Lytechinus pictus: one gene and its partners. The protein of the gene in region 2 binds, or shares a complex with, the protein of the main gene of each other region. Links are inferred from orthologs where the notes say so. Each region holds a gene or a part of one and is shown on either strand. Other genes may lie near its edges. The genes, in order: pre-mRNA-processing-splicing factor 8, U5 small nuclear ribonucleoprotein 200 kDa helicase-like, spliceosome-associated protein CWC27 homolog and SNW domain-containing protein 1-like.

Region 1 (6,981 bases), on a different chromosome or scaffold from region 2:
GGCGCTACAGTACATGTACATACGTACACGAGCGATCGCGAGCCAGCCGACTCTCGAGCTAGATCGCGCTGAATGCATGCAAGCTTCGGACTGACTCGGCCAGGACTCGGCTTCAACTTCAAACCAAATAAACAATGAGTTGTCAGACTAAAATAGGCGACTTTTGTCGTCGCGATCGGCGACCAGAACTTGAACAAGAGTCAAGAAAAAGAAATGCCGAGGCCAGCGCCAGTATATCAAGTTCAACCAGGACGCTGTTTATACTTTATTTGTTCTATTTGCACGTTTGTCTTGATGTATATTACATGTATGTTATTTGATGATATGGATCTCTGCATATGCAGCTGTGTCTGGATTAAAGTCTTGAATTGAATTAAGAGCAAAAGAATTTTTGAAAAAAAATCGGGCAAGCAGTTTTTTCTATTGGTCAAGCAAATTTTTTTATCACTTGCCCGACAGGGCAAGAGATGAAAAAAATTCTTTGAAGAGGCCTGGTTTACCCCCTAAATGCGGCTGCCCGATCGCGAGCCGTCTGGGTAGAATGGGGGGGTCGGGTGTCCAGACAGTTTATATTCTTGAGGCCTTCTTTTTTGTCTTTGGATTGCACTAAAAATATGAATTCGATAGTTGTAAACATCTTCTATTTTGTTCTCTATGATGGTGGGCCCCAAGTCTGCGCACCTAACAATTTGAGTTAAGATTTAACATGAATTTCTTCTTATTTCACAAAATCTTTCAGTTAATAATGTTCCTTATATTATTATTAAGAGTAAGTGTACCAAATTTCTCGTTAAAAAATGAAAGAAAATATAGGATTTTCTTGAAAAAACCTCGGGCAGTCATTTTCAGATTAAAAAAAAAGATACTCCATGTCTGCGCACTCATTCACTTTGCACAATTCGGGGATTTTGATGAGAAAGGCTGCATTTTGAGGCCATCACATGAAATGCCCTAAATTCCTTATTTTTCCACCATTTTCAGTCGGATTTTTTTATGAATACCTGTCTATGTATTGCATTGCATGTTTAAACTTCGTGCTCGTTGCGTATCTTCTTTTACTAGAATCGCGCAGATACGCAGACAAGGGGGACTGCGCAGACTTGGGGGAACTTGCCATATAAAATATTAATATTTCCTAACATTTTGTAATAAAAATTGATGAAACTTCACTTGTAAATTTTTCCAAATGACGTTCTAAATTGATCGTCCGGACACACAACTGGGTATACTACTACTACGACGTCTACGAGAAAGTACTCACACAACATGCGAGGTTAGTATATTAACCTCGCACAACGCATGTCATTTCATAATGAATTTTGACGTTTTCATTCATCACACGAATGTGAGAATATGAAACACGCCTAAATCTTCACAATATACTAAATTTACTTATTTAGTAATCTTAATCATATAGCCTAGGGCCTAAGGCTAATGTAATCTAATTTTAAAAATCAGCACGAACTTATCTATAAAAATGGATTTTAAACGCTTACCTCCAAATCTCAGCCAGTTACTCCGTCCGATCCTTAATACTGCGGTGGAAATTACGCAAACAACAATTGAAATGCGAATTTTTCCTATCGAACAGTCTAGATTCAAGTCGAGAACCAGCGAATCGGCCCCATGCCTGCTTCGACATCAAGAAAAATCATTGATATAAAGTACCAGAAAGACAGAGAGGAATTGAAATTGGCTTCATATCGTTTGGTAAGTTTCATATCCAAAGACCAAAGTTTATTTAATTTGAAATCTGTAATGTATTGCTAATTTAAAAATAATAAAGGTGTTGCAAGTGGGATGGGGGATCGGGTGTCCGGACACTTTATATTTTTGAAGCCTTCTTTTTTGTCATTGGATTACACTACAAATACGAAATCAATAGTTGTAATCATCTTCTATTTTGTTCTCTATAATATTTCCTGACATTTTGTACTAAAAATTGATTGATTTCCTTGTAAATTTTTCCAAATGACCAGTAGAGGCGCTGGTCCAAAAACTGGGATTGTCCCAGAAAACAAGGATATCCTCATAAACCAAGACAAATCATGTCTTGATAAATTGAGACTGTCCTTGTTTATGGGGACGTTTTTTTTTCACTTCTCCCTACGGGACAAAGACAGCAATTACGGAAATTGAGAGTGCTAAAAATAGATTCAGTGACCTCAATTCCCCCCAGTTCGCCGTCTAATTTTCATGACTTACCGTCTTCCAATAATCTTGTTATGAAACCTGATATGTTTACATTGACTAGCACACTTGATTGGTGTCGGCACTTGACAGGTGAATGAACTTTCCTAGATTTCTAGTGTGAAGAAATCCTTATAAACTGAGACAGTCCCTGTATTCTGGGACGATCCCAATTTTCTGACCGGCGCCTCTACTGATGACTTTCTAAAATTGATCGTCCGGACACACAACAACTGGGTATGCCGTGCCAGTGGTTATCCTGTGGCTGTGCACGGCGGCGGTAATCAGTACTGGAGTACTGTACTACTGGTAATGTACCCGTAGGTGACGAGAAATAAGAAATGTTAAAAACTCCTCGAAACAGACGGCTGCCAGCTGTTTAACCCCCCCCCCCCCCAGCTTCCCCACGGCCCACAAGTGTCACAACAATGTCGCTCACTCAGTCACTGACACACTGGCGTGGCGGCATAACAATACATGACCGATTACAACATCCATATTCCACTCCATTCACTCACAATACAAATCGTCGAGCTTCGCTTGCTTTCTCACTGCACTCCCGAGCTCCCTGCTCCAGCTCTTGAGGCAACAAAATTACATCAAATGATATATGGCAAACTAGGCAAACGTGGTAAGATTCAGATCTAATTCTAAGAATAAATTGTGAATTTATATGGTCTCACTTTATTAAAATTTGGAGTCTAAATTCTACTCACTCTTTCGTAATCTCGAACAAGACGCAACGTAAGTGTTACCAAACGCAGAGGGCGCGCGACTTCTATGGCCACCGCGCTGAGTCGAGTGGGCATTCCGCAATTGGCCGCTCTCTCGGGGATCAAAACTATTTGTTTGCAAATGATGTCATATCGGATTTTTTTCTGCGGATACACCTTCAAAAACAAAAATTGTTCAGATTTGGATGGACCTATAGTGGGTCGAAAATAACGTAGGCCTAACCAAATTTTAAACTGTATTTGGCTAAGTTGCCAACTAATTTCTGTGTAACTTTAGTTTTATTTTTGATGCACTCAAGGAATTATTGGGGGCGAAGCGCTATGCTTGCCCCCCCCCCATATTTTCGTTGGTGGGGCGATCGCCTTCCCCCCTGTCCCCCCAAGATCGACGCCTCTGTTTGTTTGATTTACAACTGTATCACACCCTTTCCTAAAAAGAAAACAAAAACAAGTCATCACGATCGAACCATTAAAAAAATGAAATTTATGCGTTTATATTACAAAACATATGGGGCAGCTGCTCGTTTATGACGTCACAAAGCTAAAATTTAAAATTCTAATAACTTTCTTAATCTTTAATGGATTTTACTCAAACCTTCACCAATATTTTCCATTATTTTTTTCTGCTATTTTTACAACATCTGATCATCTCTCCCACAGGATGTAGACATGACGAGATCCAAGATCTTCCCATCTGATCATTTCTCACACAGGATGTAGACATGACGAGATCCAAGATCTTATCATCTGATCATCACTCCCACAGGATGTAGACATGATGAGATCCGAGATCTTGCAATCTGATCATCTCTCACACGGGACGTACACATGACGATGATCTAAGAATTTGTCTGATCATCTCTCCCACGGGATGCAGACATGACGAGATGATTATATTATGGGTGGCACTTTCCCGGGCGGGGGGCCCTTCCATTGACGAGTGGATCGATACCATGCGCGACCATGGGGTCTCGAAAAGCACCCTAAACAAGTATTTCCATATTCTGAAAATGCACCCCTTAACAAGTATTGGCGTGTGAAACCCTACCCTTAACAAGTATATTGGAAACAAAACGATACTTATCCCTGAATTGAACACCTAAACAAGTACAGCGATATTTTAATTGTTATGTCACGTACGGACGTCGGTCGTCGGTTTTACCTTTACCTACATCATTGGGTTTAGTACGGCCCCACCTCCCATATCTCGCGCAAATCGTACTAAACACGTAGTGTTGACTGCTGGGACAAAGAGTGACATCCTTTATTAAACATCTTAGTCTGAATTGTTTATACCCTCCCAAATTTGACCCTAAACACGTGGCTTTCCTAGCGAAATAGATACCCCAGGCTTTTTTCATTATTTTAGTGTTTTGACGACACCCTTATTACGTTACGTACGTAACGCGCCCTATCTTTTTACGTGTTTTTTGGGTCGCAAATGGTATGCACTCGTCAATGTAAGTGCCCCCCCCCCCCTGGGGGGGCATGCACTTTTAAACTTCCATATAGGCCTATTTCTCTTTCTGTTTATGGTAACTCCCGTAGGAACTCGACAGGACAGCTTTTGCTGGTAAACGCCGAGCTGGTATATAACCAATTACCTAGCAAACATTTAACGTCTAGGTTAATCAGTCATAGTGGCTGACGGTATAGACGACAGATATTACTCTCGGGTCTTTTTTCAAAGTGGAGACAATGGCAGAGTGAGGATTCGAACTCACAACTTCGTGATTATGAGTCCAATATGCTCTAACCACTGAATAACACGACCCGTTAACTTTTGCAAATTTCAAAATTCTGTTTTGCCCCATCTTCCTCTAAAGGTAGGCCAATAATAAAGTCAACAACCCAAGACCATATGCGAATCCAGGGGGCCGAGGCCCCCCCCCCCCCCCCTATTGGCGGAGAGAAAAAAAGAAAAAAGGAAAGAAAGAAAAAAAAAGGAAAAGAGAGGAGACAAAAGAAGAAGAAACATAAAAAGAGGAAGACGAGTGAATAAAATAAGATGAGGGGAAGACTTGAAAAAAATTTTTTTTTAATCTTTCATGTCACTATATAACTTTTTCGCTCGCGCTTTGCGCTCGCATTTTAGGTGATTTACATATCTTGTTCAATATGGAGCTTAACATATTAATTTTGAAGTCAATATACAAAACATATTTCAGCTCGGAAATCGAACTTTCTTTATTTTTGTTCGATTTACAAATTGATTTTTAAAAATTGCCCTGTAGAAATGTCTGTTTTATGGTCTGAATATTAACATTTTCTGCTCGCGCTGCGCGCTCGGAAAATTGGATTTGTCAGGTAACTATTATTTTCCTGTATTCCATAAAGTTCTCAAAATATCCCTATTCAGGTCAGATTGTCAAAACGTATCAGCTAACACTGCACACTCGCATTTTGATTGGTGAGTTAAGTGTATCAATATTAATTCTATAACAAACTAATGAATCCCCATTTCTTGACAGTTTATCAAAAATTTCGGCTCGCGATCTGCGCTCGCATTGATTGTTGAAAATATATTAACTCATGCATCTTATTCATAATTACATAAGTGATTTAAATGTCCAGTTTTCAGGCCATAATATTAAGAGATTTCGCGCTCTCATTAGTCTTATTAGATTAATGAATAAGATATTAATTTAATAATCAAATTGTCCCTTTTTTCAGAATGGAATATCGGCAAGTTTCATCTCGTGCTTAGGAAGAAATATAGGAATATAGTCATCATTTTCATATGATGACATAATGTTCTTAGAATGTCCCGGTCCTATGTCAAAACTCAAGTAATAATAATGAAACATATCAGCTCCTTTTTTAACTCTGATCCATATCCACCTCACAAATTCCCTTCAAAGTGCTTGAAATACAGAGCTTGAATTGATCCTTTTTATCAGATCGGAATATAAAATATTTTAAGCTCGCGCTTCGCGCTCGCTTTATTGATTTTCATGATAAAAAAGGCATTTAGAATGCCCAGATTCTAGGTCGAAATCTGAAACACGCCCACGCATGTTTATTTAGATACGCTGCCTGTACTCTATTTAAATCATTATCAAGTTTCAGATCGCAGTATAAAAAAATTTGCTCGTGCATTGCGTTCGCATTATTAATGTAGGAAGATTTCAAATTACTCATCATTTTCATGATTTACCAAACATGAATAGAGTGTCCCATTTTTAGGTGTGAATCTCGATTTTTTTTTTCCGCTCGCGCTCGCATCAATTGTTTTGTTATATATACTTATCCTTTTCACGATTACAAAAAGTGCTCAGAATTTTTATTCATCGGGTATATAAATGTCAAAATTTTAAGCTCGCGCTTCGCGCTCGCATTATATTGATTGTTCAAATATGTAACGTCTTCATGGCTAACTGCAAGCAGCCGTTAACAGATCCTTTTTAGATCAGATCAAAACGTATATTGAAAATTATCTAATATTGTTGAATAAGCATCCAGTGGCGTAACAGGCGGGGGGGGGGCAGGGGGGGGCAAGTTGCCCCCCCCCCCTGGCGAATTTCACCGGGAAAATAAAAAAGGGAAAAAATAAAAGAGAGGGAGAAAGAAAGGGGAAGAAAAGAGGGAAAGGAAAGGAGGAAAAGGAAAGAGAAAGGGAAAAGTGGAAAGAAAACAAAAAATATATATTTTTTTTAAATGGATGTCCTTTAAATGGAAAAGGAAGGAAAGCGGGAAGAAGAACAAAAGAAGAGCATTTGAGAAAGAACAAATCATTCCGAAATAGACCTATGTAGTGCAATAGCATGATGGGAAAGATCACAAACTGACAAACAATAGCGGGAAATGAAGGTAGAATGGAATTAGTCAAAAGCTAAATTGGAAAACAAAGAAAAGGCACAAGAAATAAAAACTTAATAACACGACCGGGCTGACGAGGATAGATAATAAAGAGCGGGAAGAAAGATGGACTGCATACAACATTGTGCTATTAGCTTGCTCAATTTTATGCAAATAAGCTACCGGGGCTTAGCCCCAGACCCCAAGCAGTAGGGGCTCTTCATCTATGACCTTCAAATGGCTCTATTACGCCCCCTGT
Region 2 (7,510 bases):
TCTCTTATTTGTTGAAGCTCTCACCAAATTTATTCGCATTCAATCAAGTACTAGCGAGGGATATTATTAATCAATATTAACAAGATAAATCATTTTACAGCTTAGGATGTGATTGTTCAAGATCAATGAGAATCTTTAAATCAATGTATTTATTGTTGGTATTGGGGTGGCTGGACACATATAGCAAGTATTATAAAACCAAGACATGATCATGGAAAGCAACTGCAGTTTGAGTAAATAAAAATATACGCTATAATACAGTTTAAAATACGTTTATTTTCAGTACTGGCAGGCCTAGGACCATGATAAAAGATACTAAAAGTTGGCAAGTACTGTGTGATAACGGCATGCATTCTTATCAAGTTTTTGCACAAACATTTACAAAGACTGTTTATGTTTATTCTTTTAAAAAACCTCCATTGAAACTTGCCTCACCTCCTTTTAAATTCGCTTCACCATAATTTGTAGTACCATGGGTGTCGATCACGGGGGGGGGGGGGAATATATCCCCCCCCCCCATTATTTCAAGTGGGGGGATGGTCTGTATTTTCATCCCCCCTATAATTTAGGGTAGAAAAATTATAATAATGATGATGAAAAAATGAAAATTTGATCATGATGATTATATGCCATCAATCAGTTTGTTTCCCTCGCAATTTGTGTATATTGTTATTAAATAAAAACATTCTTTTCCATGACTTTTAAACAGATTGATGGAGGTTCAAGATGAAAAATAATGAAATGTTTATGTATATGATATTTTTAAATACATGACATAAAAAGACCCCGACGAAAAACAACTTTTGTTGATAGGTGTTCCATCCCACCAGTGGTTAATAAATTAATTTTAACAAATCAATTAATTCAAAAGGGTGTATAAATAAACGGGAGTAAGAGGGTGGCAAGATCAACGGGGAAAACCCCATGGACGTAAATCCCAGAGGGGTAGATCTTGAAAAAGTACAAATAACTTTTCTCAGATTTATCCCTCCCCACATCCAAGTGCATGATGTTTGTCCATCCCATTTAATCTACAACCCTTTGCCTGGTTATATACCGATGTATGTCATGGTAGTATTGTTATATATTATGTTCGGCATTCAGTAAACCTTTGAACATGAAATTATACCAAAAGGAAGATGTGCACAAAACGAATGTCACCTCTACTTGTGTATACCTTGACTTGAACGATAAGTTTTGGTCAATAATATTTTGCAGGAGAGCATTGATGTCCTCATTACCTATCTAAACTCCTCACAAAAAGTTTGGAAATCAGTTTGGCTATTAATTTCTCCCAACTCCAAATTTTACACAATGCATATTTGACGTCATTCAAAAGATCACTTAATTCTCTGTCATCACGAAAAGAACAGGATTCAAAAGTGTTGGATGAGGTCTGAATTTGAAAGCTGCAAAACGAGCAAAAAAAGTTTGGAAATCTGAGTTTGGCCGATAATTCTCCCAACTCATCACCACGGAAAAAAAACCAGTAACTTTCAATATTATGTCATTGTGCAACTTTTGAATTTTGACCTTGCCCCACATTTCAAGGCACTGCACCTCCATGTGAACCATAATCATATCATGTAGGGTATCATATTAAAGAGAATTAGATGATCTATTCAGTGATATTACTAACATATTGATATACATGTATATTAAATTTGAGGAGGGATTATCGATCAAAGTCAGATTTCCAAACTTTTTTTGAGGAGTTTATGTGGAAATGAGGTGCCTATAGTCATGAAAGAGTGAGCCCATATCACTTTTAAAAAGTCATAATGGTCGTGTGGTGATCAGTAGCTCATGTGTATGGTGCTTTTGTTGTATGCGGTTGGATGTAATTAATATCAAACATTTTATCATGTGACCCCATCAGAAAGAATAATCATTCATTTCTCTTTAAAGCGTATCTTCGGATATGAACATCGGATTTTTTCCATGTTATTCTTGTTATGGACTTGAATAACTAAACTTGATTGATTTTTTCTTATTTTGGCAAAAAGAAATCTCTTTTGAGTTTGGAAAGGGATGACAGGTTTGCAATCTATATGAGCACACTCATGCGGTACGTAAATTTCATTTTAACACATATATTAGCTGATATTACACACTGATGGTTCAAGAAAATGTTGGAGAAATATCATAACAGACAGTTGAGTTTTGATTGTTTTTATGTTTGTTTTTGTTTCATTCACTTACAAAGCATTTAAAACATGTTAAAATCCAGGGTTAAAATCGTCTAAGGAATGACGGTAAGCCCGATGGCGCACGAGCTAGAAGCCACAACGTTTGTAATTTGTGCTAGTCTTAATTTGTCCGAATCTGCATTTTATCATCATGCATTAAGAAGAAAAAAAATATTGCCAGTCGGGTTAGATTTAAGAGAGAAGTTGTATACATCATGCTCAATAAACAGATCACTTTGTACATGGTCCAGACAATTTTTGTCATTTTTTCTTTCGTATGAGCTTAGAACATGCTTACTTGTAACACAAATTGAATTTTCAAAAAAAATTATACATAATACAGTACACTGCAACAATGAAGGAATTTCCAAGAACACCATGCATATCAACCACTCCCAAATGTTCTAACTTGTGATTTTAGTGGGGGTAATGTTGAAAGATCCCCATCCCCAAGAACATTTGTGTCAATCATCCCCCCCCCCCAACCAAGAATACCGATTGACACCCATGTGTAGTACAGACAGTTTATTCTTTTTAAAAACCTCCATTGAAACTTGCCTCACCTCCTTTTAAGTTTGTAGTACAGTTTATTCTTTTTAAAAACCTCCATTGAAACTTGCCTCACATCCTTTTAAATTTGCTTCACCATAATACAGTTTATTCTTTTTAAAAACCTCCATTGAAACTTGCCTCGCCTCCTTTTAAGTTTGTAGTACAGTTTATTCTTTTTAAAAACCTCCATTGAAACTTGCCTCACCTCCTTTTAAGTTTGTAGTACAGTTTATTCTTTTTTAAAACGTACCTCCATTGAAACTTGCCTCACCTCCTTTTAAATTTGTAGTACAGTTTATTCTTAAAAAAAAAAACCTCCATTGAAACTTGCCTCACCTCCTTTTAAATTCGCTTCACCATAATTTGTAGTACAGTTTATTCTTTTTAAAAACCTCCATTGAAACTTGCCTCACCTCCTTTGTAGTACAGTTTATTCTTTAAAAAACCTCCATTGAAACTTGCCTCACCTCCTTTTAAATTGGCTTCACCATAATGCAGTCTATTCTTTTTAAAAACCTCCATTGAAACTTGTCTCACCTCCTTTTAAATTTGTAGTACAGTTTATTCTCTTTAAAAACCTCCATTGAAACTTGCCTCACCTCCTTTTAAATTTGCTTCACCATAATTTGTAGTACAGTTTATTCTTTTTAAAAACCTCCATTGAAGCTTGCATCACCTCCATTTAAATTTGTAGTACAGTTTATTCTTTAAAAAAAAACCTCCATTGAAACTTGCCTCACCTCCTTTTAAATTCGCTTCACCATAATTTGTAGTACAGTTTATTCTTTTTAAAAACCTCCATTGAAACTTGCCTCACCTCGCTCCATTTAAATTTGTAGTATTTTACGGTTATTCTTTTAAAAACCTCCATTGAAACTTGCCTCACCTCCTTTTAAATTGGCTTCACCATAATGCAGTCTATTCTTTTTAAAAACCTCCATTGAAACTTGATCACCCTCTTTTTTAATTTGTAGTACAGTTTATTCTTTTTAAAAACCTCCATTGAAATTAACTTAATGCCTCACCTCCATTTAAATTTGTAGTACAGTTTATTCTTTAAAAAAAACCTCCATTGAAACTTGTCTCACCTCCTTTTAAATTGGCTTCACCATAATGCAGTTTATTCTTTTAAAAACCTCCATTGAAACTTGCCTCACCTCCTTTTAAATTGGCTTCACCATAATGCAGTTTATTCTTTTTAAAAACCTCCATTGAAACTTGTCTCACCTCCTTTTAAATTGGCTTCACCATAATATTCACGTAAGGTATATTCATTCTTTAAAAAAAAACATAATTGTTCACTTCACTCTACTAGATCAATTAGCTATATATAATACCTTTTATTCTACTCTATTCTTCCCTTTAAAAAAAAACCTGATTGTACTCCTGCCTCCCCTGATCTGACATTTGCCTCCCAACGTACTGTACATATAGTGTTATTATCTCTTTATATCGGAAACTTCGTTTTACCAAGGAGAGAGTGATATCTCCTTGGTTTTACCGAATTGCACTCTCTCCGAAGCGGTTTGAAGTCTGTCTAGCATGGAATACTACCAGCCGATGGTACACACACACACACACACACTCACACACACACACGTTATTTGACAACTTGTCTCTGGAGCCAAAGTTCCTCGCATATAACTATCCTGTATCTGCATGCCTGCACGCAGTGTGTATTGAACACGCACGACCACGATCTAATGAATATTCATCGGCGAGAGTGACGTCATTTTACGAGTCTCCTTTCAAACTTGGTTCATAAGTGCCTACCCATTAAAATGCGTGAGTTCTACTTTTGTGAAAAACGTCAGTTAATCGTAAGATAATTCATCAAGAAGTACACTTTACTCTTTAGCCATGGCTGATGCTACGGCTAGGTCACTACAATATGAGTACAAAGCGGTAAGTGATATTTGATTTGTTTGTTTAAGATGTAATATCGTCCCTAGAGAATGTAGATTCCCAGCTCGCTTTTCATTTTTTTTGCAATTGGGCTTGGCACGCGCAACACTTGACTTTTCCCACCTATTGTAATCTGTGTAATGTGCTGTGCGGACAGTCTTGGGTTCTAAACTTCGAACACAATACATCATTTTTCGAATTCCAAGTAAATATGACAGGAAAAATCATGGTTCATGCTAATATAGACCCATTGAGCAGTTTACAAAAATTATTGAATGGAAGTTGGAATGGAGAGTGTTTTTTTTTTGGGATAAAACTCAAAAGTAGGGATGCCACCACAAAAATTGAAGTGTTGTAAATCTAGTATTAAATAGTTTTGACTGGAATAAGCTCTGAAACACGAGTAAAATGACACCAAGATCATAAAAAATTGGACCAGGGGTTGCCGAGATATGGCCAATTCAAATTTTGAAAAATGCCAAAATGGCAAAAATTTGTTTTTTGCCATTTTTAAAGCTATCTAAGTATTTTAAATCTTGATGAAGTATAGAGGTTGCTTTTCCTTGGGGCACCTAACATGTCAACCACCAACAAGTACCTGAAAAATTGGGTCCGAATTACTTTTGGTTTTCACAGTTTCATATTAACGGAGTTCAAAATATGGGGAAAACACATGTCACAAATTTTCACCTTTGGACTAGTGCTGTTGTCGGGAACAAAAATCCATGTTGACATGTCGCTTAAAAATTAATCCCGACATCGACAATGTCGACATGAAAAAGGGACTGTAATTTAGCCTAGGCTCCCTAACACAAAAAAAAATAATTCGATCGTGGAACATAACAGTAACACTCTCAATCAAATGTCTTCACCTTGACACGAGTGATATCCCCACACTAGATCTAGATCTATATAATACAGGCTCAGTTCGGGAAACATTTTGACTAAGCTAGAGTGAATTCACTTCCAAAATCACTGATTAATCCACATTTTTTTCTGGAGAATCAAGTTTTTGTACCACGATCCGGTCTCGAAAGCATTGTGCAATAACACTCGGAGCCAATTTGAGAATCAACCAATTACAACAGTGATCATTGCATATTATACGCTGGTACTCGTGTTCTGCAAACGCAAGCTCCTCAAATTGACCAAAAAAAATAATGAAAATCGACCGATAATTTCAGTATCACTTCCGCGGCGATCGGTGCAACGATCTCCAAACGAAGGAAGGGAAGTTTTCTGTGACTTCGTGATATGAAGTAAGTAAGCTTGTAACCGATTTTGCAATCGGCAACCGATTCCATTCGATTTCACCACAATCGGCAATCACTTGCCGATCTTCGATCATGCCCCTTGAAGGAAAAAATCGAAAATAAAAAATCGGCGTAGATCCGGTTACAGTGCGTGATCGCTCAGAACATATTTCAAGATTGTTTTTGAGGTGCTAGCTATTTAGAGGTCGCATTATTCAGGGAGAAAGTCGCGGTATTATCTATGGCAATGTTTAAGGGGATAGATATCTTCTCTTCCAACTCATGGTGATAGCGGATGCCGCCGTGAACTTTGAAAGGTCGTATTACCGACGGAGCTCACTGCGTTACTCTCTTACCCCCTTTATAATGATATAAATCTTCTCTTCAACCTCGTGGTGATAGCGGACCCCGCCATTAACTTTTAAAGACTGTACTATTGACGGAGCTTATTGCGTTGCTCTCTTACATCGTTTATGATGATATTCATTTTATTTTCAACCTCGTGGTGATAGCGGAAGCCGCCGTGAACTTTGAAAGGACGTATTACCGACGGAGCTCACTGCGCTACTCTCTTACATCGTTTATAATGATATAAATCTTCTCTTCAACCTCGTGGTGATAGCGGACCCCGCCAGAAACTTTTAAAGACTGTACTATTGACGGAGCTTATTGCGTTACTCTCTTACATCGTTTATGATGATATTCATTTTATTTTCAACCTCGTGGTGATAGCGGACGCCGCCGTGAACTTTGAAAGGTCGTATTACCGACGGAGCTCACTGCGCTACTCTCTTACATCGTTTATAATGATATAAATCTTCTCTTCAACCTCGTGGTGATAGCGGACCCCGCCAGAAACTTTTAAAGACTGTACTATTGACGGAGCTTATTGCGTTACTCTCTTACATCGTTTATGATGATATTCATTTTATTTTCAACCTCGTGGTGATAGCGGACGCCGCCGTGAACTTTGAAAGGTCGTATTACCGACGGAGCTCACTGCGTTACTCTCTTACATCGTTTATGATGATATACATTTTATTTTCAACCTCGTGGTGATAGCGGACCCCGCCGTGAACTTTGAAAGGTCGTACTATTGACGGAGCTCATTGCGTTACTCTCTTACATCGTTTATGATGATTTACATTTTATTTTCAACCTCGTGGTGATAGCGGACCCCGCCGTGAACTTTTAAAGATCGTGCTACTGACGGAGCTCATTGCGTTACTCTCTTACATCGTTTATGATGATTTACATTTTATTTTCAACCTCGTGGTGATAGCGGACCCCGCCCTGAACTTTTAAAGATCGTGCTACTGACGGAGCTTATTGCGTTACTCTCTTACATCGTTTATGATGATATACATTTTATTTTCAACCTCGTGGTGATAGCGGATGCCGCCGTGAACTTTGAAAGGTCGTACTATTGACGGAGCTCATTGCGTTACTCTCTTACATCGTTTATGATGATTTACATTTTATTTTCAACCTCGTGGTGATAGCGGACCCCGCCGTGAACTTTTAAACATCGTGCAACTGACGGAGCTTATTGCGTTACTCTCTTACATCGTTTATGATGATATTCATTTTATTTTCAACCTCGTGGTGATA
Region 3 (7,714 bases), on a different chromosome or scaffold from region 2:
TTTTTCTCCTTCTTTTCCTATCCTCCCACTTTCCATTCTCTCTTCCTCATGCTATGCCTTTTCCTTTTCCTCCTCAATGTTTCCTATTCTCTAACTCTCCTCTCCTCTCATATCTTTTCCTCTCTTCTATCTTCTCCGCCTTTTCTTCCTACTTTTCCTAATCCTCATCCTTATTGTCATTTCTTTCATCCACCTGCCTCTTATTTTATTTTCTCCCTTGACTACTCATCTCCCCTCGCTCTCCTTCTTATCTCATCGTCTCCTCTCCCTATCCTCACCTCTTATCTTCCTCCATCTCTTCTCCTCTTCGTCCTTCCCTTTCTTCCCCTACTCCTCCTCCATTCTCTGCTCTGATCCCCTCATATCCACTTCTTCCTTGGCCTGTTCCCTCTTCTCTCTTCCTCTTTCTCCCATCCTTCTATTCATCTGCCTCCTCTCCTTCTGCCTCCCCTACTTTCCCCATCCTCTTCCTCTCCCATCCTCTAATACTCAATCATCTTTTTTTACTATTACCATCCCCCAACATGCCCCATCACTCACCCTGAATGGATGGCCATAGATGGACTCTCCCCCTTCACCTGTTCCTGTGGGGTCCCCTCCTTGCGCCATGAAGTTCCTGATGATGCGATGGAAGATGGTGCCATCGTAGTAGCCTTCCATGCAGAGCTGGACAAAGTTCCTGCATGCCTTGGGCGCCTCTTTGGACCACAGCTCTATGTCTAACTCTCCACATGATGTCTTGAGGAGAACCTGGTGAATCAGTTTCAGCAAAAAAAATTAGTTGAATAAAATCAGTAAAAAAAAATCAGCAGAGATTAGAACAAAGTCAGGGTTCCAAGCTTTTCAAGAAAACAAACTTCCCTGATATTTCCCTGATGAAGTTAAAAATTCCCTGATAATTATTTAAACCCATTCCCAGTTTCGCATGTTTTCTAAGTTGTTGCAATGAATTACATGTATTTTCAGTATAAAAAATAATGTGAAACTAAATAGTACCACCATAACAAGTCATTCAATGGATGTTGTTTTGATATGCAACAAAATATAACAGAGTCTGGCTGACTACCGTGCTTTCGACTTTTGGGCTGATCAAAATTCCCTGATTTTTCCCTCATTTGGGGCATTTTCCCCTGATTTGAGGTATTTTTTACCAAATTCCCTAATTTTTCACTGACTGGAAAAAATTACATAATTTTCCATGATTTCCCTGATGGGCTGGGAACCCTGAAAGTGTCTTGTCAAACAGATGCAAGGATTGAACATTATAATGGCTGTAAGTGAAAAGTGCTAAAGATGACATGTAAAAAGTAGGCATTTACACTACCCTATGTGGTAGACTAAATTTTCCTCTAAAAAAAAATGTTAGAATAAGTTTTAAAAAGGTGTCACACCATGCATGTGTCCATGCATATTCAGAGATGTTATCTTTTTGTTTTGTTCACCAGAGGGCTCACAAATTGTGATTAAAACATGTACCGGTATGCTTATTTGACTTTGAGACTCTATTTATGGCGAGATATTCAGAAACGGATCATACAAACTTGGTTTTCGATTCAGAAAATAGAATGAGATCACTATCCATAGATTTAACCCCTGGAATATTTTTTTTGGAGCAGCAACTTGGATCTACTGTCATGACTGTGTGTGCTGTTCAATAACAGGTATGTTCATGTATCTTGTGCATGCAAGTCCCCTGCCAGTGCAGGTTCTCTGTAGTTATGGGGAGAGATTTGAAGTAATTTTCATCTGATATTTGGAACCATCCGATGTTTGGGGACTTTACTCTAATTTGGATGGAAACTGAATGTGTAAAAAAAAATCAAGCATTTCAATTTGTCCCAAAAAAGGCAAAACTGGCAAAGAAAGAGAAATTGAAAATAAGCCAAACATTGCCCAAAATAGGCCTATTTTACTACACAGGGAGTAGTATCACTATCAGAGAACAAGGTTATATCATTGAATGAGTGGTATAGCATACTAACCTAGTCTTGAGGACGCAATGATGATGACTTTAAAATCCTGACGTATACTTCTTCATCATTGACGTCTTGACACTCTTCCCATAGAAGAGACGGACCAAAAAAAAAAATTAATATTATAACAAAACCTAGGCCTATGTTATAAATTTTACTATTTGTGAAATAATAATTTTTATCTATAAATTGTTCCTCAAAACAGCAAGTACGTCATACATAAGCGGTTCAAGGGTCGACGCTATTTCATTTCCGTTGTTTACATGTGGATCGAGGGGTCTACGCGGCATCAGTTAGGTAAGAAACCTTTATTTTTTTACATTTTGATCTAACATTTTTTAAAACCTTCCTACGAATTAGGCGTAGGAACTAGGAAGGTGTAAAATTCAATAATATTCATAAACTTTACGTGATTTTGGTCTTAAAAGATTGATTTCCTAGGGAAATCCATCTTTGTTTTGGTCCGTCTCTTAATCTTATGCGTCTATCACTCTATGTCTGACTATCTTGTCTTGTCTTTCCGTTAATGCCCACAATCATTATATTGATTATTATGGCATATGAACGTCAAGATTGACTTGACCGTCAATGGGAAGAGTGTCAAGACGTCAATGATGAAGTATACGTCAGGATTTTAAAGTCATCATCATTGCGTCCTGAAGACTAATACTAGCCTCGCATGTGTGTGAGTGTCGGCAGCCAATCGCGCTCAACAAAACTTCAAAAGCGCAAGCCTCAATTACATTACTAGACCAAAACCCACGCACCAACAGACGTATGGGACTACACATCAACATCCAGCGGACAGGGTAGTCACACTGATCAGACGAAATAACTATGCAATAAAAATATCATAACGCTTGAATACATTACCTTCCCATTGGTTGGTGGCTCTTGGATGTATATATTACTCATTATGAAGTCAAAATATTGAAATATTTTGTCAAATTCAGGTTTTACTTTTCCATTTCCATTTTTAGCACCAGCAGGCTCTATTTTGGTAACTGAAGAATTCGATCAACTTTTCGTAATTGCACATTCGCATGTTATGGTATCTTAAGTTATAACCAAAACCATTTTTTATAAACATTTTTATTGCAGCATCGGGGCTCCCCCCCCCCCCCCCCCCCCCATACACACACACGCCCACAATACCGAAAGAATGAGAAGGAGCTTTTTTGGAAGAAAAGGGTTTTTTAAATACAATGACATGAAAATGGACTATTGAAGGACTTTTTGCAGGGAGCCGTGATGCAAGTATGAATTTAAACAGGAAATTTCAAGCACCATTTAATTCCCTTGAATATGAGATGTATTTTATTAAACAGGGGCCGCTGAACAGGGATGGGTAAGGGGGCTGACCCCCAGCCCCCCTCCCCCACCTTTTTTCAACAAACTTTTACAAAAATGTAACCCTCTGATTGTGTTTTTTCCCTTGGCTATACTCTTTTTTTTTGGGGGGGGGGGTTACTTCTCTTTTTTCTTTTTTTGCATCTCAAATGGGGGTGGGTGCATCGGCACCCGGCATCCGCCTTTATTCACTAGTTGTTAATTACATTGCCATTACCTTCTTAGTGATTTTGTTAATATTCAGTATTTTTATGTATATAACTTCAATTCTTTGACACTAAAACAAAATGATATACATTCTATTCCAACTCTGTAACAAAATAGCAGAAAATGATACCAGCACATTGTATCTTCTTTCTTGTTAAAAGCACTTAAAGATAATATTTCATATTGAATTGCTATTGTTGTGGTTTTTTTTTTAAGTTTTAACTTGGGTTGATATCAATCAAAATGACTTTGGACTGAGTTTGGTTTCGATTTTAGTTACTATTGAATATTCCCCCTGGGTCGACAAAATTAACCTTGGTGGAGGTCCCAGACAGTGGCGTAATGAGACAAATAGCAAAAAAAAAATAATAATTAGGTGGGTAGACATAGCGCATCAGGCAAAATTTATTAAAAGTTGTGAGCGAGGAAACATTTTGACATTTTTATCAAATTTTGTGAGAGATTTTATCTAGCATTAGGAAACTAATACATTAACTCTTTCCTTTCCTTTTCTTTACTCTTTTTTGGTCATGACAATTTTGGGGTAGGGGGCAAGTGCCTCCAAGTCCCCCCCCCCCCCATCTGTACGCCATTATTGGAAATCTTCCTAGTTCTTCCGAGGCACTGGGGCGGCGGAGCGTATATTTCCGGGGGCAAAGCCAAAAAGGACGGTGTATATTTTCAACATGAGAATATCATCATCGTGGAGCAGTTGTGTGTTTTGTAACAATTAATTTGAGCAAAGTTTTCAAAATGATTCTGACTGATAAGATGTATATTTAGGCTTTATTTTTTTCAACGAGAGAGCGGAGAGAGCAAGTGGTTTTGAAAAAAATTCAAATCTGAAGTTGTAAAACTTGCTTTTTGGTAAATATGAGAACACGAAGCGCGAGCTGAAAATTTGTAATATTACAACCTGAAAACTGGACATCCTATAAACATTTTTTGTAATCAGGAACAGAATGAGGACCTTACTTAACAATTATGCGAGACAGTGCTAAATGCGACCCCAAAATATTTGATATTCCCACCTGAAAACTGGAAATTCTAACCAATTTGATGAGCGAGACCGAAGAGCGAGCCAAAGATTTTTTTTTTTTTGGGGGGGGGGGGCAAGACAGTGTCCCCTAGCTACCCCCTCCCCCGGTTCTGCCGCCCCTGTTCTGAGGTGAACTTCCTGACTCTGCATTTTATGGGGAAAAAAGAAAGTGATGTGTTGGGATGTGCATACGGTTACTAAGCGAATGCATAATAGAAGTTCCATCGCCGCAAGACTTTGATGAAGTAAATATGTCGCATTGCGTGATCAACTTTTGACCAATCCGAATCCATGGCCCTGGGAAGCGGGGTGCTGTAGCATGGGTTATTCGCCATAGGCAACACCCCCTAGAAAAGTAATCGGCTATATAGTATGTCATTTTGTAGTGAAAACTTTTTTTTTTTGCTTTTGAAAATTTATTTGAACCCAAGTCACTTTTTTTTGCTAAACCTTTTTCTTTCTCTCCTCGTGACAACAATGACCTTCGTTTTGTAGTGAAAACCTTTTTTTTTAGCAAGCATCCCCTCGTTCTCAGAGCCCTCCATGAATCCAAGTTAATAGAATATACTTAGCCGGGAGTCCGGTTCAAAGTCAATGATCCGATTTCTGAACTCAGGTTTAATTTAAACTCTAGTTGTGGCTAATGTACGCATATAGGCAAATGTGATAAAAATCTCGAACAGTAAAGTTTCAATTCTCAGCACACTTTAAAATTGCACGGTGCTCAAATTCAAGTTAGAACATCTTTCTTCACCATTTAAGTACTGGGAAGACAGCATGCACTCAAACCATTTTACTTGGATATAGCTATCTTTTGCACCATCTTGTGTTTGATGTGCAAATCTACAACCCCCCCCCCCCCTGTTCACAAAGCGGACTGCAACATTCTAATAATTATTTTAACCCACCCCCCCCCCCCATAATTAATATAAATAAGCGTGGATAGAGGGAGATGGCCAGGTACTTATCTAAGAACATTGTCAAAACTGAGTAAACGTCTTGCCGACCCCGTTGCCGACAATATCTTTATAAAAGTTTTATATATTATTCCAGAAAACAATTTCATAACTTTGCATTATGCCTTTCATTTCTGATATCATTTTATTTCTCGTTCATAAAATCCTCGAGTCTTGTTTGCATAATGATTATCTCAATCAATTTTTAAAGATACCATTAGAGGCAAGTTCGGAATATATAGTTTCATATTTCAGCAGGAGAAATCCCGGGATCGGACCAAACCATAGAGATGTATACTAATTACGCTAGAGTGCGGAGTCGCCATAGGCGCGCGTACTTAACGTCTGTGATTGCGCGGAGCATGGTCGGCCATTGCTCGATAGGTCTAGATTCGCAAAAGTACCCGGATGTACACATAGCTCGTACGTTGTAACGCTGAGAAAAGGGATGCTGTCTCCGGCTTTTATCTTGAAGAAACGAATCCAACCTCATTACAATTGAAAATATGAAAGACAAATTGTATCTCAATAAACTATTAGTGTGATTACATGGGAATTCTGCTATTAATTTGTCTTTTTATCTGGATTCTCGGGATGAAATTCTCTATACAGTGTATTTACGATTACCTGCCACTGATGCCTGTATTTTGTTAGGCCTATAGATAATAATATATAACAGTATTGATAATATGACATAAATAAGTAGAAAAAATAAAACATACAACATTAAAAGTAAATTTTGACAATCATTTCAAAAGACAGTGATTTAGCCCATCTTCTCCGGACTTCCCTATCTTTGGCTTTAATGATACATCATCCTTTGGCACATTCCTTCGTCCACTTGATTCCGTGTTCTCATGACCAATTTTTTTACGATGGATATAATTTTGTAAATTTAATTCATTTCAACTCTATTCGTTTCACTTCACCTCAATTCATTTTTTTTTTCATTCAAACATAATACAAAGTAATATATATCGGATAGGCTCTACAATTTTACAGATGAATATTCTTATCTCGTAAAAAACCAGTACGCCTATAAAATTGAGCATCAAATGACCAACTGCATGAAACTTGCATTAATTTGTATTAAGTATATACTAGTTTGTTTTAAATGTACAATAATTTGTATAAGTGTTTTGATCTTTGATTACTATTTTATTAGCAAGGTATAGAGTATTTAAAGGGCATCTTATTAATTTTACATCATGGTGAGCCTCCCGTTACACCATCAATGGTAAAACTTTATTGGGTTTTCGGTGCACTTGTTAATTTTTTTTCTCATAGGAACATGATAAATTCCCTACTATCTGCAGGCCTATATCGCACCGAAAATGAAATTGTTCAAAATTTTTTGCTTTTAATACCCTTCTATTTAAGTTAGAATCGGTTTATTTTATTCGCTTTTTAGGGGGTGGGGTGTAATTAAAGTGACATACGCACCCGGAAGAAAATTCACAATCAAAATAAAAGTATACAAGTACAGGGGGCTCGACTGGACCCCTCCCTGACAGGTATCACTTGAGGTTAAAATTAGGATCACTCAACAGCCAACAATAATTGTATTATCTTATTCCAAGTATTTGTCAGTTTTACAATAGGCCTATTATTGCTTAATATGTTTGTTTTTTGTACTCACAATTTTGCAAAACTTTTTTTATTTTAAGTTTTATTAAGATTGCAATAGATGTATCTCAGGATATTTGTTATCAATTGGTTTTATACACTCAGTTGTAGTAATAATATTCTTTGTAGTATAGTACAAATTATAATTATAACTCACTCCCGCTCTGTTTCTTCTCCTCTCCTCCTTCTTCCATACCTTAATTATTATTCGATCCTTGATTTGTTCACATAAAAATTTGTCAAATCAAAGGATTAAACATCAGCGATATGTCAACAGAGTATTTCAGCCGATCAGTATATTATTTCAGCCGGGGGGGGGGGGGGGTCAAGTCTATAGGTTTTCCAGAAAATCAAAGAGAAACTCTTTTATGTTGCGTTAAACACGCATTGTAATTTGTTTATCATGTTATTTGCAAGGCAATACTGTAAACATAATTTCCCCCATTAGGCCTCCTGTACATTACAAAATTGTACAACTGCATGCGTGTTTTTGATATGCAAATTTTGCTGTCAACAAACTTTTCTACATTGATTTGCACGTAAGAAAGTAATTAAAATGATCT
Region 4 (7,712 bases), on a different chromosome or scaffold from region 2:
GACTGTTCAGATACCCATCTTGTAAAACTGATTAGAATGTCTAGTGTCCAGTTAGGAATATCAAAATTTTTAGCTCGCGCTTCGCGCTCGCATAATTTATTCAGGAAGATACCCATCCTATTCATAGTTAAGTGCACAAAATGTATCGTTTTAGGTCTAATTTTTTAGAAAATTTCAGCTCGCGCTTTGCGCTCGCATCAATTAATTATTCAGTTAAAAACAAATTTGTTCATGGTTAGTAAAAGTGCTTAGGATATCCAGTTCTTAAGTCGGAATATCAAAAGTTTTAGCTCGCGCTTTGCGCCCGCATGACTGTTTAGATACCCATCTTGTAAAACTGATTAGAATGTCTAGTGTCCAGTTAGGAATATCAAAATTTTTAGCTCGCGCTTCGCGCTCGCATAATTTATTAAGGAAGATACCCATCCTATTCATAGTTAAGTGCATAAAAATGTATCGTTTTAGGTCTAAATTTTTAGAAAATTTCAGCTCGCGCTTTGCGCTCGCAATTATTATTTTTTATATAATTTTAGTGTAAATTGTTAGGCAAGTGTAATTAAAAGTGAAGACTTTTTGGAGGTGGGGCTTGTCAAATTTTTGTAAACAAAATGTCCCCCTTGAAAATCCTGGATCTGCCCCTGGGTTGGATATAGATGAGTACTGTTCGTCGGACGTCAGTAATCGGTACTGATATCTGTCGGGTAAAGGCCTAGCTATACCCCTGCTTACACATTCCTCTGGTTATTACTGTCCCCCTATCTATCCTATGTACCTGATCCCTTCGTCCGCCTATCTATCTTTTCCAATTTCAATTCCCTCAACCTTCTGACATTCCTGCCAGTGAGTGAGTGATTTTCCCCATATCTAGTGATATATCATGTTACTGTCGCATATATTTTCACGTTCATATTTATTTTTTCATGAGTGGATGGATGCGTTTATTTTTGTTTTAATTGTGTATATGGAAATAAAACAAATGCAAATCAATACATGAATACAACTGATTTCAATGTCAAATACCTCTTTTATAACGTCTCCAAATGAGCAGAATTGGGAACATAATGTAAACACCTTCAAAGAGTAATAAAGGAAGTATTTTGATATAAACATTGCAATTACCACTTGATTAGAAATATATCGATCACGATCCAATACATTTCATTTCTGGAATGATATACAGAAATAATAATAATTTCGACAATAAAGTGCAATCGCCCGATAGCAAATATCAGTAGTAGCAAGATCCCAACTGTTTTATTGGGCATCCCCTGGGTAACCTTTCCCACATTCAGTGCCACTTCCAGACCTACACATCCAAACGTGTATGGAGGGGGGGGGGGGTTGCAAAATGCAGGGCAACCGAGGACTACGAGGTGCCCAAAAATCCTCGTGTATTGGTAATTTGATGACCGAATTTATAATTTCTGCAAGTTCCATATCATGTACAAAGGCTAAATAATAATTGGGAAAAAATGTTCGCTCGCTTCGCTCGCTCGAAAATTAAAAACTGTGAATTTGATATTTGGGCAATGATTATCAGCCCCCCTTGAAAACTGTGCCTATACGTCCATGCCTACTACCCCCCGCCTTGCTTATTTTTGTCGCTTGTCCCCCCCCCCCCCTGACGAAATATGCCAGGTACGCCACTGTCAGTAAGTCATAGGACGATAGTTCTCCAAATCGTCATCTGAACATATTTTATTGACAGGTATACTATTAACAACCATCATACTATCAGGGACAATGATACACTGAAGAGATAAATTTTATTTATATGCGTCAAGGGATCCATAATTTCACGAATACGACAAGATCACAGTGACATAATGAGAGGGGGGATATGGGTACGACATGTGTGTGAAAAATATTTCTTATAAGTCCTGAGTGAGAAAGTAGAGCAACTGAAGCAGAAAAATTACCTTTTTGGAATGAAAATCTAATTTTGTAATAGATTTTTACATAATATTCAGAAAACAACATCGTATCTTACCCCTTTTCCTTTCCTTTTTTTTTCTTGGTGGTGGAACTTTTGGGAGCCATGACCCAAGCCCCCCCCCCCCCCCCCCCATATCTGCGTCAGTAGAATTTCATGACCCAGGTCCCCCTTTCACAGTTTCAGTAACACGTGTTTATCGTTTTGTTTTGGGGTTTTTTACAATTGGCACACCTGAAGTAAAAAAGATTCACAAAAACTTTACATTGGTAATATATTCTGTTTTCCCCAGCATTAGGAAAATGCCCTGAACAGAGTATGATAAACCTATTACATGTCTACATAGGAAGTAAATAAAAGAGCATACCGAGAGACCCTATGTATGGGATTTTTCAACATAATCATAATGTGCAAAATAATACAAGAGTACTCATATTTTCGTTAGAATAACAATCATTCAAAATTCATATAGGCCTATATATTTGGAAAGCGATTTTCAAAACAAATCATCAAATAAATCTGAGCCGCCCTTTTGAAATATCAACATTATAATTAAAACATGATTAATTACTGTAAAATGACAGATGAACAAAACTTTGGACGAGAAAACCAAAACATTTTTTTTTCTTCAGTGATCTTGTATTGTGGTGTGAAAGAACTGTCCAGTGGTATAGTATATGAGTTACACTGGAGTTGGGGTTTTCCAAAGGTAACTTTATTTTCGTATCAAAAGGAAAAATAAAGGGGTATAAGCTATCCCTTAACATTGCTTGCCCCATTCAATCTTTTCATATGCGATTCAGCACCGTACTTATGGGATTAAATATTTTCTTTATCACTCCTCTTAATTTGTTGTTTCACCTTTCTTTTTTTTGGTCACATCGAAAATAACAGAAACTCTTGAACACCATTCTAGTGGGCATACTAGCAGTCCCTTTCACCTTTTTTTTGGCGGGGGGGTGCAGTGGGGGGGCTAATGTTAAAAGAAAAATGAATAAAAAATAGAATTGCGATATGATTGTTTATTGGTGTGGATGCAAAAAAATATTTGGTACATGATTCATATGGATAACATTTGAAGGTACAACTTCAAAATATAAAGGTGAATGAGAGAGGGAGGGAGAGAGAGAGAGAGGGAGAGGGAGAGAGAGAAAGAGAGTGGGAGAATGAATCGGGGGAAAGGGGTCAGAAAGAGAAAACCAAGAAGGAGAAATTTGGGTGTCATTGATTTCGTATGAGCCAAATCCCGACTGCTCGATCTCCAAGAGGAAAAAAAACAAGAAAATAATGATCTGCTTAATACATCGGAACGGCATGTCTAAGCGCTTTACAGATATATTATTACCCCGGTCATCGGATTTAATCAGTCATTCCCGCACACAATGTGTGTATATATTGACCCCAAACAGGGACATTTTAAGGACTATAATTTAGGAATCCATTAAGAGTATATATATGTATCTCACCATCATCTAATGCGAGTGCCAAGCGCTTGCTGATTTTGTTAGAATAATATACATCTTAACACATGAAGCACTTGTAGTCATTGTCATGATTAACATACGCATCTTACTAATCAAATATTGCGAGCGCGAGCTGAAAATTTGGGAAATTCAGACCTGAAGAGAGGCATTTTAAGGCTTGTTTGTAGGAATTCACGAGGAAATACGTACGTATTTCACTAACCAAATGATGCAAGCGCGAAGCGCGAGCTGAAAATATATTGACCCCAAACAGGGATATAATTATATTAAGGACTATTTTTTTAAAGGAATCCATTAAGAGTACACATATCTCACCATAGTCATCTAATTCAAGTGCCAAGCGCATGCTGATTTTGTTAGAATTACATCTAAACACATGAAGCACTTTTTATAGTCATTGTAATCATGATTATCATACGCATCTCACTAATCAAATATTGCGAGCGCGATGCGCGAGCTGAAAATTAAGGAAATTCAGATCTGAAAAGGGGCATTCTAAGGCCTGCTTGTAGGAATTCACGGAGACCATGCGTATTTCACTAACCAAATGATGCGAGCGCGAAACGCAGGCTGAAAATTTTTGATATTCAGATCAGAAAAAAGGACATTTTAAGGACTGATTTTAGGAATTCATGAAAAACAGACATATCTCACCAATCCACGAATGCTAACGTAAGCACGGACAGGAAATGGTTTAGATTAAGACCTTAAAATGGGGGCAATCACTTTAAGTAGCCATGAAAAAGAAGCATAATATGTCACTACTTAAAACAAGAATTCGACGTGCGAGGAAATATATTTGTTGTATATTGATTTGAAAACGGGAGGTTTTAGTACAACAGGATTATATATCTTGTTCAACAGACAATGCGAGCACCAAGAACAATGAAGACATAGGCCCTGCGCAAATTATGTTTCATAAAGTTATGATTTTTTAAATGTAATATAATATAACATAATTATAATATAATATAACTTTATAATTAACAATAATTCCTTCTTTCCCCACTACTTTTCTCTCCCTTTCTCCCTCTTTTTCTCCTTTCCCCGTTTTTTTTTTGGCCAGCCGATTGTGGGGGGGGGGGGGGGGTACGTGCCCCCCATGCCCCCCCCCCCGTAGTTACGCCACTGGTGGCAACTGGCAAGTATGAATTAACGCCTATTTTTTTTTTTTTTTTTTTTTTAATATGTACCGGTATATGTGATCGGAATATATATATATTTTTTTAAACAAGTGCACACCTAGTTACCAATAATGCATATAGCATTTCCATTTTTATTTGAAAGCAGGATAAAAGAGCATTGTAGATTAAATGCCTTGCTCACGGGCATAGGCGCCGCGGCCGGGGATCGAACCCCGGACTTTCCATGTATAGCCTGGCGCCTAGACCACTCGGCCACGGCTGTTGTGATCGGAAATTGGCACGTCTCCCTCTAGCGTTAGAAGACATGCATTAAAAGCCTATGGCGTAGCGAGCTTTCTGAGGAGATTCGACGACAGCCGATAGTTTGCCCAGAGATTTCTGCATTGTATCCAAGACTTTCGTCAAATTTACTATGGTGTCACTTGCTGAGTGAGTAGATTATTTACAAAATTTATTTCATGATTGGGTTATTGGTATTTTTTACAGTAAAATCAATTGCTAGACGGACGTGAGACTAAGTAAGAGTGGCGAGTGTGAACGGTGATTGTGAATACACAGGGGGCCGGTGCCGTTACTGGCGTGTGTAATTTCTTATGCACACATTTCCAGTGGCGATATCACAATTCTGTGACACAGTAATGCTCATTGCACAAGAGTTACATGTAAAACCCAGGGTAGAGCTCAATATTTGTGTGAGACTTAGTGAGTGGAATCTAACAGTGACTGAGTGTGGTGATGGCAATGTGTGTGATAGCAGACAGGGATTCGTCTGCCGGAATACACTTTTTGATTGTGGACTTGTGTCTTGTGTGGGCATTAACTAGTCTATCCACTTGCACGCTGCAACCATCCTGCCTGTGCCTGTGGGAAATCTACAGGTAGGAGTCGGACCAGTGTTTCCTAAGCTCCAAAATAAAATTCCCGAAACTGAATCCCAAATTTCCTGAAATTCATAGATATTTCCTAGAATTTTCAAATTTGATTTTAAACAAAATCGGGCAATACAGCGAGCCTAATAATTGGTCCGGGTGGCCAAAATCAAGGAATTTAGCATTTTTTGTTAACGCCCTCTTTAAAAATAGGAATAAAATTACCAAATGCGAGTGCAGAGCGCAAGCAGAAAATTTTGAGCTATGTATGGAGGTAAAAAATTCTGGCCTGAATATTAATAGTTGCTAGGTAACCAAAACCCAAGAAGAGAAGCAATCTTATTGGAAATTTAGGTAAAATGAGATGAACAATTACAAAAAAAAGTTTCATCAAAATCGGTTATGAAATAAGCAAGTTATGGACATTTAAAAAGTCTTGTACTTTCTATAGGGATCCTCAAATTGGCAAATGTGCTTCAAAATGTCTGAATTTGTGGACAACTCTCCATTTGTTTTGTACACAAATTTTCAGATTTTCCCCTTTATTTTACATTTTTCACATCTCCTGACCTTGACATATGTGGTGTGAATTTTATTTTCCCAAGACATATGTCGTGCTCAGAAGGAAGCAAGCTGCAATTTGAAAGATAATGAGGAAAATCTGAAAATTTGTGTACAAACAAATGGAGAGTTGTTCACAAATTCAGCCATTTTGAAGCATGTTTGCCAATTTCATAGTAGTTTTTAGAGTCAGCACTGCTGCTATATTGAATTGCGTAATGCAGGTGAGACTGCCAGAGGCGCTCCACTTGTTGACCATTTTTCATCATCTCTATATTCAAGTTCCCTTTGGAAGAATGTTGCAAAGTTTGAGCGTACAAAATCATTTTCTCACGCGTATGATGCGCGTTGGGTAAAACAAGGCCGGTCGGTAATACAATCACTCACTATACCATGTGATGTGACAATTGTTAGGGTTGCGTTGACAAGTCAGACACATTTCTGGGATTTTAACAAATGTTGCTGCAAGCTTCTCCTGCTTCATCTTTCCTTGTTCTTTTCTATCAAATACTAGCAATTGACTAAAAAAATTATACTTTTTCCACAGCATCCTACCTAAACCCAAGCAATGGGGGCAAGAAGATGAGGTAGACCTGAGAGCCAAAGAGGTAAGCAAATGAACATTCCTACACGTATTTCATTTTAAATAATTACAATAGTACTAATAAGGCCTGTTCATAAACATTTTGTGACAAAGCTCAGCAACCCTTTGTACGATGTCAATGGGGTAGGAGTTAAAAAAAGAATGTTGCAATAACATAGTGACCTGTTTTTGAATGTGTTGCTTGCAACCGCTAAGAGACAGACAAATAGTGAAAATTGAAAAAAGTTAAGATATGATGATTTACGCTGTTTGACAGACTTACTCATGATATCATTAAATATAATGCTGGAATGTGACTTTTATGAACCCATTCTCTTAAGTTTAATAATAGGATGTTGTATTAAATTAATAAATTTGCACTATAATGTTCCTCTTTCTTTTTCAGTTACGTGTGGTTTCTGTATCAAGGAATGCAGCTCCACCGTATGGTCATCGGAAAGGATGGGTGCCTCGGTCATTGGCTGTAAGTACATTAATATATATATACCCTCCCCCTAAAAAAAAAGAGACCCAAACAAACAAATATGCAGCAAAGTTGAGAAGGTACATGTAGTTAGTCATTCATTCTGATTTCAATGAATGTACTGTAAAAAAAATTACAGATAAATATTGAAAGTGAGGGATACTTCAAGTGGGAAACTTAAAGTGGCGTAGAAAATATATTTTTTGTTGTGACATACCTCTGTTTTAGAAATGTGGAAAATTGCCATCGTAATTAATCAAGTGATATACAGATTTCATTTTGTACCACAGAACTATCATTTTCATTGCATCACTGCCTACAGCCCTTGCAGTATAAAGTTGTCCTGAGGACAAGGTCATTTTTTATAAAACATCTTACAACCACTGTCTGTAAAGGGGAAATTTGAGGAAAACGAGACAGTTAAGGTGGACTGGACATCCAAGGCAGTGGCATCATATCATTGGTTTAACACAAGCCCTCTGTCACCTACATGTGCATGTGGCAACTTTCATTCACATGTTGATATAGATGGCAATATTGCAACTTTACATCCATGACTTTAACATGGAGGATCTAGCTTCCGAGATAAAAATTCCAACTGTTACCATGGCTTGAATGAATCAGTATAAATGAATGAATGAATTAACTTTATT

The links.
Region 1: the proteins of U5 small nuclear ribonucleoprotein 200 kDa helicase-like (region 2) and pre-mRNA-processing-splicing factor 8 are in contact, whole or in part, in a cryo-EM structure (PDB 7OS2), measured with the Homo sapiens proteins. The link is inferred for Lytechinus pictus from reciprocal best matches to the Homo sapiens genes SNRNP200 and PRPF8. Residues at the interface, in NP_054733.2 of Homo sapiens: Pro543, Met544, Arg545, Ser546, Thr570, Gly571, Thr589, Glu591, Lys592, Ile595, Arg624, Arg728, Lys729, Glu773, His786, Ala787, Thr814, Glu837, Tyr992, Thr1008, Ser1010, Ile1012, Leu1041, Glu1042, Arg1043, Val1044, Pro1045, Ile1046, Pro1047, Val1048; in NP_006436.3 of Homo sapiens: Trp2073, Arg2074, Ala2077, Ile2078, Ala2081, His2084, Asn2109, Lys2113, Tyr2168, Glu2171, Met2172, Arg2266, Leu2268, Gly2269, Phe2270, Gln2276, Arg2287, Leu2298, Ala2299, Asn2300, Glu2303, Glu2307, Arg2310, Pro2311, His2313, Phe2314, Leu2315, Asn2316, Phe2317, Ala2318.
Region 3: U5 small nuclear ribonucleoprotein 200 kDa helicase-like (region 2) and spliceosome-associated protein CWC27 homolog share a complex: the UniProt entries of both Homo sapiens proteins name them as parts of the minor spliceosome. The link is inferred for Lytechinus pictus from reciprocal best matches to the Homo sapiens genes SNRNP200 and CWC27.
Region 4: U5 small nuclear ribonucleoprotein 200 kDa helicase-like (region 2) and SNW domain-containing protein 1-like share a complex: the UniProt entries of both Homo sapiens proteins name them as parts of the minor spliceosome. The link is inferred for Lytechinus pictus from reciprocal best matches to the Homo sapiens genes SNRNP200 and SNW1.

The regions. Positions count from the first base shown.
Region 1 is NC_087246.1:34,397,183-34,404,163, reverse strand, and holds the start of pre-mRNA-processing-splicing factor 8, read right to left. Parts: upstream 3,009-6,981; 5' UTR 2,907-3,008; intron 1-2,906. UniProt on the Homo sapiens protein: Plays a role in pre-mRNA splicing as core component of precatalytic, catalytic and postcatalytic spliceosomal complexes, both of the predominant U2-type spliceosome and the minor U12-type spliceosome.
Region 2 is NC_087256.1:3,906,587-3,914,096, forward strand, and holds the start of U5 small nuclear ribonucleoprotein 200 kDa helicase-like, read left to right. Parts: upstream 1-4,505; 5' UTR 4,506-4,601; coding exon 4,602-4,646; intron 4,647-7,510. UniProt on the Homo sapiens protein: Catalyzes the ATP-dependent unwinding of U4/U6 RNA duplices, an essential step in the assembly of a catalytically active spliceosome. Plays a role in pre-mRNA splicing as a core component of precatalytic, catalytic and postcatalytic spliceosomal complexes.
Region 3 is NC_087255.1:26,595,320-26,603,033, reverse strand, and holds the start of spliceosome-associated protein CWC27 homolog, read right to left. Parts: upstream 3,007-7,714; 5' UTR 2,889-3,006; coding exon 2,847-2,888; intron 751-2,846; coding exon 541-750; intron 1-540. UniProt on the Homo sapiens protein: As part of the spliceosome, plays a role in pre-mRNA splicing. Probable inactive PPIase with no peptidyl-prolyl cis-trans isomerase activity. As a component of the minor spliceosome, involved in the splicing of U12-type introns in pre-mRNAs.
Region 4 is NC_087251.1:28,641,108-28,648,819, forward strand, and holds the start of SNW domain-containing protein 1-like, read left to right. Parts: upstream 1-4,707; 5' UTR 4,708-4,974; coding exon 4,975-4,991; intron 4,992-6,539; coding exon 6,540-6,600; intron 6,601-6,981; coding exon 6,982-7,059; intron 7,060-7,712. UniProt on the Homo sapiens protein: Involved in pre-mRNA splicing as component of the spliceosome. As a component of the minor spliceosome, involved in the splicing of U12-type introns in pre-mRNAs.